Linked DNA regions of Saccharomyces cerevisiae S288C. The protein of the gene in region 3 interacts with the protein of the main gene of each other region in a pairwise test. Each region holds a gene or a part of one and is shown on either strand. Other genes may lie near its edges. The genes, in order: LSB3, PIN3 and GYP5.

Evidence for each region.
Region 1: the proteins of GYP5 (region 3) and LSB3 interact in binary tests that used the Saccharomyces cerevisiae proteins (3 or more experiments, as listed by UniProt).
Region 2: the proteins of GYP5 (region 3) and PIN3 interact in a two-hybrid assay, tested with the Saccharomyces cerevisiae proteins (2 studies listed by BioGRID).

The regions. Positions count from the first base shown.
Region 1 is NC_001138.5:201,428-205,311, forward strand, and holds LSB3 (Lsb3p), read right to left. Parts: upstream 2,007-3,884; coding exon 1,960-2,006; intron 1,866-1,959; coding exon 533-1,865; downstream 1-532. Other genes in the region: PES4 (Pes4p), read left to right, coding at 1-282; HIS2 (histidinol-phosphatase), read right to left, coding at 2,316-3,323.
Region 2 is NC_001148.4:832,908-835,726, reverse strand, and holds PIN3 (Pin3p), read right to left. Parts: upstream 1,163-2,819; coding exon 515-1,162; downstream 1-514. Other genes in the region: NCA2 (Nca2p), read left to right, coding at 1-164; MAY24 (May24p), read right to left, coding at 1,482-1,899, 2,034-2,038; URN1 (Urn1p), read left to right, coding at 2,269-2,819.
Region 3 is NC_001148.4:76,014-81,151, forward strand, and holds GYP5 (GTPase-activating protein GYP5), read right to left. Parts: upstream 3,341-5,138; coding exon 656-3,340; downstream 1-655. Other genes in the region: 60S ribosomal protein eL36 RPL36B, read right to left, coding at 211-226; galactose-responsive transcription factor GAL4, read right to left, coding at 3,698-5,138. UniProt on the Saccharomyces cerevisiae protein: GTPase-activating protein which accelerates the GTP hydrolysis rate of YPT1 and SEC4. Involved in ER to Golgi trafficking and polarized exocytosis.

The DNA.
Region 1 (3,884 bases), on a different chromosome or scaffold from region 3:
AGCAGCACAAGATCACTAATAAAGAATAAAAATTTCAATAAGAAAGTTTTGGAAACATTCGAAAAGCAAGTAAGAAGAGGTATAGATTTCATGAGATTTCCAAGTGCCACTAGAGACGAAAATGTGCACGGAATAGCTGAGTATATATTCGACACTTATTGGAATCGCGATGTGTTAATATTGGACAAATTTTTATCGTTGCTAAATAGTAGTCCATATCATGAAGGTGTATTGCAAAAACAAATTGAAGAGGCTGCAAGCTCGTTAGGATTTAAAAGATGAATGTCTCTTTGTTAATTTAGCTAGAGTTTTCCTTATTTATTTTTTTTATTTACACTAATTCAATCTTTTTCGTTATATTTAGATATTATTAAAAATTATTATTATGGAAAAAATTCTTAAAAGGATAGACAGAGGGACGCCGTCTGCTATATGATATGTATTTAGGTCCGAGTGCTGATAAACTGTAAGGCAAAAGGTATAAGTGTAAATCAATAACGTTTCTCGTATTCTTTACTCTCCTTCAAATTTTTTAAACTAGTTCAACGTAATTTGCTGGGAATATACCTTCTCTACCGTTGACTCTTCCGGTCCACCAGTCATTTTGAGAATCTGATTTTTTCAAAATTGTGATCACGTCACCCTTTCTGAATGGTAAATCTCCGGACTCTTCTCCTGCAAAGCTATATAATGCCACGGCCTTTGGAGAAGACGTGGATGGGGATGTTGGAGCAGTGAATCTGCCCTGACTAGTTTGCGGTGTTGAAGCGGACGAGATTCTAGATTTAGAAAATCTGTTCGACAAGTCATCGACTTCACGGTCTTTTGTCCTATCTCTTCCATTCCCGCGTCTATACCCGGATTCATAATCATCATCATAATCATCGTATTCATCATCAGCCCAACGATTTCTTGAAGAACGAGCCCTTGACTGAGCAGTTCCTGATCTTCTGTGGCTGGCATAATAACTTGAAGCTCCAGATGGGTCATCCAATTTACCACCACTACCGCCACTGTTGGTAGGAGCCAGTCTTGAATTCCTTGAATAGCCAGTACCATAATCATCATCGTCATCATCATCGTCGAACGTATAACGAGAACCGCTTTGGGCTCTTCTCCTTGTGGATCTTGTGTTAGGTCTAGTGGAGGAAGCATCTGTAGAACTGAATGAACTAGGAATGTCATTATAGTAATCGTCGTCGTCATAGTAATCGTCTTCGTCGTCATCGAAACTGCCACGACCACCGTTGGAGGGTCTGTAATTAAACGCCCTGGACTCTAAAACACGAAACAATGGATCAACTGCTGGAGGCGGTCTTATCCTACCAGACAAAATCATTTTCGCGGTACAATTGTCACCATAAAATTTTCTGTTAGCCTCTCTTCTTTCTATAATAGCCGAACCTTCCACAGAAACCCCTGCAAATAGACCTTTACTCTTAGAATAGGCAAAAACTGCAGCCACACCACCGGCGGAGGCTGATGCAGCTGCTTCTGCACTTCTACCAAGAGGCCCAGCAGAAACGGAGACGTTACCACCCAACGTGATGGTCCCAAATTCAGAAAACGACTTAACAGCATCCTGAGTATTTAAAATGAAAACAAAATCAGTCAATTCTATACCAACCATCCCACCGGCACCAGCACCTGCCATGGCAATGGCAGATGGAGCTGACCAAGTACCATCCTTTAATCTTGCGACAATCACACCAGAACCAGCTCTACCTGAAAATAGAAAACCTGCTTTTAAGATCGTTATGATAGCCAACCCTTTAGCTCTTTTCAAAACGTCTGGAGGAATGACTTGGTCCGCACCAAAAACTTGGTTTGGTTTGACAAAACTAGCCAAAATCTTCGCTGCTTTTCTTTATTAATTGTTTATTACTAGTTAGTAAATGATGAACAAATTAAGGGAGAACTTTTTTAAAGGTTTCCCAGCCAAACCCGTATAAAACATACTTTGTCTCACTCTTTAAACTCCTTGGAATAGGATTGTTAATACCCATTGCGTGTGATACAGCTTTTGTTTTTGATTTCTTTGCCACCCGTGATCCAAAGCCGTTCTAGATTTCTTCGATAGTTTATACTCTTTCATGTTGAACTTCCAGATGCGGCCGAGTCGGCGAGCAAACAGGGTGCTGCTACTAAACGAACAATAAAGAAAGACAATTTGGGCACCCAATATAAAATGAGCAGTCAATTCAATCAATTCAGTGTGAAATTTTTTTCTTGGAAAGATCATTCACTTCTACACAGCTGTACATGAGTTTATATGACAGTTTTTTTTTATGTACATCCAGTTCAAGATAATCAGATTATATATTGGCCCAAAAGGGATCATTAACGAATTGCGAAATGGGTAATCTCTTTACAGTTAACAGATTCTCTGGTGATTGGCTTTCCTCAAGGTAGCAAATATACTCTAATTGTAGCACGTCTACTATGTATTTCTTTACCTTGTCATAGCACACACCCACTTGCGCCACGCCGTGTGCGTCATCACTTAGAACAAATCTGGATCCACAGTGCTTCTTGACCAGATTACATAAGGTTTTGCTGGGGTACGGCTCCTCGAGGCGCTTTCTTAATGCGGACGTATTGATTTCAATTGCGCCGCCATAGGAGTCTATAAATTGTAAATTTCTTACAACTGCATCGTATATTTCTGGCCATTCACTGATGACGTCCAGTGAAGCTACAGGAACTCCGGTTTCTTCGTTGCAGTTGCCCGATTTCTGGTTTACTAGCATGTCATTGGGCAAAAATAATTTGTAAAGGTCGAAGTGACCCACGACCAACGGTTTAATATTGATCAGCATTTCGTACTGTGATTGGAAGTAAGACAGGAGAAAATGTTTCAAATTATCATTGAAGGAATGCAATGAATTGTACCATTGTTGTTGGTCGAAATCAATAGGGATCCCGTTGACGTGATGGACCGAACCCACACAAAACTTCAAAATATCATTATTCTCCTTCATGAGTCGCTTTGCATATTCGATATGAGCCATGTCACAACTTTCGATCTCCATTCCTATAATGAATTTAGTCCGCACATCGGGTCTATCAGCATAACGAGTCTTGATTTCTTGCGCATGACTCATGAAATTCTTGAACGATGTTTCTAGCTTGGTTATGACTTCCTCAGGATTCTTGCCCAATGACTGCTCTTCGGGGTATATAAACTTGGCCTCAATTCTTGGTATGTGCTCTGTCAAACAGTACGTGTGAAAGTTGAGGTTGACCACTTGATCGACCACGGAATCCAAAGGGTCCGTACCGTGGGCACTATAGTCACCGGAGTGTGAATGGTGTGAGTGCATGACCTCGAGGATTTTTACTGAATTGTACGTATCAAGAAGTACTAAAATGTGTTTGAAAGGGAAAGATTGTACGGGAAATGGAAAATGTACATATAATATCCAGTATCATTTGAGTTGATAGAGATTATCTCTATAGATAGAGAGATTTGACAAAAAAAATAAAAAAATTTAAATGGACGAGTCCGGAATCGAACCGGAGACCTCTCCCATGCTAAGGGAGCGCGCTACCGACTACGCCACACGCCCGAACGTTTGTTGAAATCTTCCAAACAGAAATGATACAGGTTTACTTTACAGCAAGACATTAGTAGTTTCATTAGCTTATCAACATGTATGAAACCGGCAAGATTGAAAGCTTGATTGCCCTTGACGAGCTACTCAAATGTGTAAATATCTGCACAATCAGTTTACACTCATGTTTCCGCGCTTTTACCCTCCATCTAGATTAAAATCTTATATGGATTATTTGGGATAAATAGCATTTAGTAAATCAAATTGATAAAAAAAAGAATAGCATTTAGGTATGCAGAATATACTAGAAGCTGTCCTCACTGATCCTGA
Region 2 (2,819 bases), 760 kb from region 3:
TTTCTAACTTATACAAATTGGGAAGTTTTTTGATCCCGCGTTCAAGAAAGAAAGAATGGTTTAGGGACGTTGAGGAACTGGTGGATACCAATCTTGACTCCGGAGCTCATATAAATGTCGTCAACAGGATATACCACGTATATGGCAGGTTTTTAATCCATTAGCGTATAGCCTGCTGGGGAAGAAGAAAGGGAAGATATTGAATATATTCTTAATGTATTTTTTGTACAGACGTAAATATAAAGAAATCAACGCAAAATCGACGCCTTTTTACTTTTTATACTTTTTTACTAAAAAGACAGATTTTCTCGCTCATATCATAAGTGATGTACTATTATCCTCCATATACGATATATCTGTTTAAAAAAAAAGAAAAAAAAAGGTTACTTAAATTCATACTCATTAGAAAAAAATTCTAGGGATAACAACACCAAAGGTAGAACTTCGTTCAATTTATGAAAGGTTTGGCCATAATGGAGAACAAATGAATGAAGTATATAAAGAGAAAAACGACTTAAAAGATATTATTAACAATATCTGACCCAATACTAGCGCCTGCCCCAAAAATGGCGGCATTACCCAATTTGCTACCAAAGCTCTTCAAGTGGCTATGTGAGCTCTGATGTTGTTGTTGTTGTTGTTGTTGTTGGGGAGGAGGAGCTTGTTGCGGCTGTTGTTGAGGCTGCTGATAATAATTTGTGGAAGGTGGAGGAAATGGCTGCTGTTGATAAGATGATGCGGCACTATTTTGCGTGGGGATTTGTTGTAATTCTTGAGCTTTATACTGTGGAGGTGGTGGAAGATTGGATGGACCGTTAGACCCAGAGAAAGCTGGCTTGACATAGTTTGCTGGGAAAATACCGGTACGGCCATTACAGCTACCCTTGTACCACTCTGGAGATAATTTTTCTAAAAGTTGGACCTTGTCACCTGGTTTTAAGCCCAAATCACCATCTTGTTGAGGATCAAATTGATAAAGAGCTTCGACATATTCCAAGGAAGCTGGACTGGCGTTGCGGGGTGCATTGGCAGGATCCCATTTTGCCGGCAAGCTCTTATTTATTTGATCGTAAACGTCATTTGAAATGACATTTGACCCTTTTAGAAAATCCAGTTCTGTCCTAATGTTTGTTAAGGAACGATTAATCAATGAAGCAGACATTTTTGAAATATCAGATTGCCTTCTTTCCTAATGTTCTTGTGTTTGCGCCAATGTGGGCACTTTGCCTATTGTCTCAACCGATTTGAGGTTCGACTATATATGCAGCTTACAATATCCATCCCCGCCTCGAAGGAGGCTCGGTTAATCACGCTGCACGAACGAAAACAATAGTTAAAGAAACGTTTAGAACAATCTAGCGCTTTGAAGAAAGAGTATTAGGCTCTTTACGTGAAGGATGGCACATTCTCATTCAAAAGTTGCTGCTAACTTTTATCATCAAATCAGTAAACCCCTTCTTGTTTTTTCTTGACAGAAGCTTTCACATAACGGAACCAACCATGGAATAACTTAGCACCACATCGAAAAGGATTTGGACTACTGCGCAACAAAGTGGGACCCATGTAGACATAGAAAATAAACCAGATCTATAGATCGCACCTATTAAAAACCCCATAACTGTACCAGTCGTCAAGCCTTGAACGCCTCCGTATAAGACGTACATGACGAATATCCATACACTTCCAGCCTTCTTTCTATGGGTCAAGCTAGCATACACACCAGCAGTAACGTAAAATGCACCATTAAAGATCAAAGTCCAGTACAGCGAAAATTTCCAAATGTCAGATATATAGTATAAGAATGCAGTATTATACTTCGAGTTGTTGATGGGCCAGTATAATGAGGGGAATTTTGGCGTTACATATCCAACAGGTATATCGTTATTTGTTACGAATGATCTGAGCACAGGGAACATGCGACAGAGTAGTGGATGTTTTTATTGTTAGTTTTGTGCCTATTATTTTCTTAAGCCACAGGGAGCGATGCCTGCATCCAGCCGTGGCGGATATAGTCTTGGTAATGAATAACATACCTCATAATACGGCAGGAAGTTGGAACTGATCTTGTTGGCAGTTTTTATCTTATACAGAAGCGTCAAGAGTAGGAAAAGGTTTTATTATTGCATATTTATCAACTTTCAGTATGTTTCTTTTTTTCTTCGGCAATGAAAGAGAAAACAATATAATTGAAGAAAGAGGAAATAGTGTCCGAAAGAGATTCTGATATGTATTATAAAGAGAAAGACAGTTCAGTAACACAGAATCGCCATGCGTGGAGAATGGCAGGAATTTAAGACACCTGCAGGCAAAAAGTATTACTATAATAAGAACACGAAGCAGTCTCGATGGGAAAAACCTAATTTGAAGAAAGGCTCTAACCTAGAAAGCAATGCGAAAGAATCACAGACAGAGAGGAAGCCAACATTTTCATTAGAACTGGTTAATGGTTGGCACTTAATAATATACAACGATGGTACAAAACTTTACTTTAATGATGACTCTAAGGAGTTCAAAAATGACATCAGTCAAGAGGACGACAGCAGGTGTCGCTCATTAATCGAGTCGTTAGATAAGGAAAAACTGGTTCTTCTGATTGGCGTTGCCAGAGGTTACACTATGCGGGAGGAGGACATTGATAAAATCCTCGAATCTTGCAACGAAGAGATTCATCTATTTAAAAGAAATCAAGACGAAGTTGAGAGAAAAGATGAGATCAGCGAAGAGGCGGGTGACGTAAAATCCCCTTTACAGGAAAGCCACACTGGGCTAGTCAGCGGGTATGGTTCATCTTCGGGGGAGGAAGACGAAGAGGAAGACGA
Region 3 (5,138 bases):
TTAGTAACAAGCACACTAGTACTCACGTAGTATACGAGCAAAATAAATAAACAAAGACTCCACGGAGTACTGCAACGCTGGGTGCAGGATATAAACGATGTTTGCATATCTCTGGAGCTTAATCTCATCCTGTTTGTATTTCTGTTGTTGGCTTAGTGGTTCAGTTCATTTTGCTTTTGCTCTACAGTTCATTAGTTCAGGTAAACATACCAGTCTTGACAGCCATTTTGTATTATCCTTGCTTCTCTATTCTGTTTTGACTATGGTAATACACGAACTTAAGACTTAACGCTAATTAAAACGAATATTCAAGAAATGCAATGATGTGCCTCTTCCTCTGCCTCTCTCTCTCTCTCTCTCCTAGTGCATTCATGCTAGCTTCCCTCGTCGGGCTTCCCTGAACAGCCTTGGTTGGCAACCCAATGAAAAAGTTCCGCGCACGCGGTATGTGCGTCTTTCGCAACCAGACCTCTCGGTCATGGTCGTCTCCCGCACGGTAAAGCGGAAACAAAAACCCAACACATCCGTGGATGTACGGGTGAAAATACAGTCAAAAAAAAAACAACAACAACAACATTGTCTAAACGAGTCGTGATGCATTTTTTAACACAAATTGGAGAGGCACACAATGTGCACACAGCGCAAAACTATACATCTATTTAAAAACTTTTTTAAAACCAGTCCAGCCTTTCCTCCCTTTAGCCTTAGAATCTCGTTCCAATAACGATGCCGTGGACACTTGCTCCTTATTGATGTTAATCAACTCATCGATTTCCGCTTGCAGTTCAGTGATTCTTTCCTCTAATTGGCCGTTCTCCCTCATCACCTCATTGTTCCTGGATATGGTCCTTTCCAAGTCTTCTCTCAGATCTGCCTTTGGTAGTGACGCGTCCGGGTTCGGTAAATTTTGCTTGCGAATCTCTTCCTCAATTTGGCTTTTGATATCAGTGATTGTATTTATCAGGTCGTTTTTTTCATCCAACAGCATCTCCATATTCAATCTGTTCTGAATCAGCTCGTTAGCGGCGCTGATATTCTCTTTGTTCAAAATTGAATAGTCGTGTTCTAGCTTCTGCGCCTCTCTTTGTAGTTGGTGGTTTTGAATTCTTAGTGATTCGTAGTGGTCCTCTTTTTTTTGCTCTTTTTCATGGATTTCTACGTACTCTCCCCTGTATCTTCTTAATGTTAATGGTGTGATATATACACCTGTCATTGCATCATGAACGAAAAGATCGACATTGTAGGAAAAAGTGCCGTCATCATTGCCCTTAAATGAGTTCCCATTTGACAATCCCATTTGCACTACAGAAGCGTCATCCTGGTTTCCCATTAAATAGTAATTGAAGAGTTCGTCCTTTAAAAAATCCAATAGTTCATCGAATCTCAATTTTACTAAAGTTTCTTCATTCTTTAACATTAAATTTACAGCAAACTTCAAAAGCACTTCAATACCCTCTACGAATACAATATCAAAAATTCTTAACACAAACTCTAACGGAAACTTGTATGCGAAAAATGTCAAAAACCATTGTGTAGCGTACATTGTGGAGCTAATTCCCTCACGGATCAAGCGATTGTACAAAGAAGGTGAATGCTCCTCTAATAATCTATCAAATTGATAAAGCATTAACATCAGCCCAGGCATTCCTGGTAAGAAAAGCTCTCTTAATCCATAATTCTTCATTAATCCAACGAGTAGTCCAAAAGATTCGGCCTCGTTTTCACAGTTTATTAATAGCGGCGCTGCAATGAACCCCATGCCTTGCGTGTACCCAACATCTGGATCATAAACAGAATACACCTTTATTACCTTGTATAGTGACTCCATTTTGTCCTCGGCCACAAACTTCGTTCTCCTTAAATCTCTACGTATTGTTGCTTCATGAAGACATTCGGTATCCAATAGAGTTTCATATATATCTTCCATTTCTCTTGATTTGGAATTCGCCATCAGCTGCCAAATGATACCTCGAATTTGTGGTGGTATCCCATTGGTAACATGGGCTTCTAAATTTTCTGGTTCGTTGCTTGCCACTGTAGCATAATCATTAACTACTTGAGTCCAGAAGGACCAATCAATTTTAAACATTTCTCTATCTTCTTCATTAACATTCTCCACTTCGTTATACTCGGACAAGTTCTCCAGAAATGACGTAAATGTCGATTTTAAAAAGCTTTGACCTTCCTGCAACGACTCTCTAGTTTCTTCCCCCTCTTTATTCAAATGGTGACTGGTCTTGCGGTAACGACTAGCGATCAAATTAATTTCTGCAGTGGACTCTAATTGCGCAGTTTTGGAACCAGTGAGAGGAACATGATGATAACTATTTCTTTTAGTTTCTTCGAAGTTTTTACGGAACTTCTCTGACTTCATTTCTTCCTCTAGTGGCGGTGGAACAGCATTCTTCGTCTTCGGTGGTTGTTCCCTTTGTTTGCCCCTTGGAGGTAATTTTGGTGACGTTGATGTCGCAACATTTTGTCTAGGTGGTAATGGTGGCGAAGATGTAGTGGGAATTGCGGAAACCTCGTTCTCGCTTGAGTTATCACCTTTTTCATTTATGATTTGTGTGGGTATAGGTGGTACTTTCCTAGCAGTTTCTGAGGAAAGATTCTCTGCTGTTACGGGCCCATCTTCTATAGCAGCTTTTTGTTCCTTGTTTTCATTCAAGTTTATTCCTGCGGCTACCTCATTGGTAATATGAATCTGGTTATTATCATTTTCTGACGACCTTTCTGGGGTTACTTCACTACTTATAGAAATGTCGTTCGCATTTGCAGCTGTCGTAGTACCAGATTCGTCATCGAGAAATTTACTCGAGGATGATTTCTCACCTCCAGAATTTTTTCCAGTTACTTCCCTATTTTCTGGACTACTAACAACCTCTTTCGTATCAGCGTAAACCTTCTCATTCTCTTTGACTGCATCATATTCTTTTTCAATATTCAGCCCATTTGGGGCTTGCACATCCGTTGTCACATCTTTTTCAACATCCAATGGCTCATTTAAATCAATTTCAGAACTAGGTTCTCTCGTTTCTTGCCTTTGTTCATTAACGTTTTGTTCAGTGATTTGGGTGTCTTCATCACCAGAGATCCCAATAGGTTCTTCTCTTGATACATTTGTGGGTGCTTCATGGCCTAAACTTTGTTGCTTGTCATTTAGTTCTTTGTCCGAATGGAGGGGCTCAGTTGGAATTATAGCTATCTCTTCATATTGGTCTGATGGCGTTGATTTTATCTCTTCCTCCATTGAACCCAAATTATTCGAATGATTATCACCTTCGTGAACTTCAGAGGCGATCGTATCTGTATTTTTCTCAATAGATTTGTCTGAAGACATTGCTCTATTAACGTTCTACTTTACACTGGTGGTAGGAGCTGTTTTATTTTGAGTATTAACTAATCAATCTCAATTACGTTCGATCCAAACCCTTTTTTTTCGTTATATGAGCGAAGCTTCTGAATAAGCCCTCGTAATATATTTTCATGAAGAATTTAGGTCCAAAAAAAAGATGGGCATTAATTCTAGTCATTTAAAAAATTCTATAGATCAGAGGTTACATGGCCAAGATTGAAACTTAGAGGAGTATAGTTACATAAAAGAAGGCAAAACGATGTATAAATGAAAGAAATTGAGATGGTGCACGATGCACAGTTGAAGTGAACTTGCGGGGTTTTTCAGTATCTACGATTCATTTTACTCTTTTTTTGGGTTTGGTGGGGTATCTTCATCATCGAATAGATAGTTATATACATCATCCATTGTAGTGGTATTAAACATCCCTGTAGTGATTCCAAACGCGTTATACGCAGTTTGGTCCGTCCAACCAGGTGACAGTGGTTTTGAATTATTACCATCATCAATTTTACTAGCCGTGATTTCATTATTCATGAAGTTATCATGAACGTTAGAGGAGGCAATTGGTTGTGAAAGCGCTTGAGAATTTGTTTGAGTTGTTATGAGGTTCGGACCGTTGCTACTGTTAGTGAAAGTGAAGGACAATGAGCTATCAGCAATATTCCCACTTTGATTAAAATTGGCGCCACCAAACAAAGCAGACGGGGTCAGTGGCACTAATGATTGCAGCTGTTGCTGTTGCCCTAGAAAAGGCGTGACTGAGCGATGCGAAGGTGTGCTTCTTGGTATTGTCACTGGAGAGTTACGAGAGGGTGGACGGTTAGATAACAGCTTGACTAGATCACTGAAACTTGCTCCTGATTTCAATGGCACAGGTGAAGGCCCTACTGAGCCAGGAGAAACATATTTAACACTGATATTGTTGACATTTTCCTCCGGAAGAGTAGGGTATTGGGCGATAGTTGCAGAACCGACAATATTTTTAATGGCGCTACCATTACTATTGTTATAACTGATATGCGGTAATGGGATTGCACACTGTGATAACAGAAACGGCGCACATACCTCTTCCAGTACTTGAATGTATTTTTCACAAGTCTGGATTTTAAAAGTGGCCAGTTTTTTTAATAGCATCAGAACAGTGTTAATTTGTTGTAATAATTGTGCGGTCTCGTTATTCTCAGCATTCGATTTTGAGTTTGAGAGTAGAGTCTTTATGGGTACTAGGACTGCATTGAACAAGTAATAAGAACAATTCCAGGCAAAATATGGGGTGACATTATGATTGTCCATATAGCTACTTACAGACATAACAGTTCTTTGTGCTGCATCGCTTAACATGATGGAGCATCGTTTAACTTCATAACTTTGATGATCATTTTGATCCTGTTCTAGTTGTGACTTTTTCTGGGTAAAATTAGTGAAAAAATCTCTTAATACATAAATGATAAGAGACAACTGTTTCCACTTCAGTTCGAATCTTGTAAAGGATAGCCAAGGGTGTTCCTTCAACAAATTGGTTAGAGCGGTGGTGGAAATATCCATTTGTAAAAACTTTGGTGCCTGTCTCGAAACCTCCTCAATCTCATTACAAATCATCAAGCATTTTTTTGCACATATAGGACTTTTTTCTGCAGTTACTGTTTTGTCTAGTTCATAGATTTTTGTGAAAACTTGTAAGAGCCTTGCTGTTTCAATGATGCCATGATATATGGTGGGACCTGTTGTGGTACGCTGCACATCGTCGACAGAAGAAGGGAAGGAGATTGTATTCTGAGAA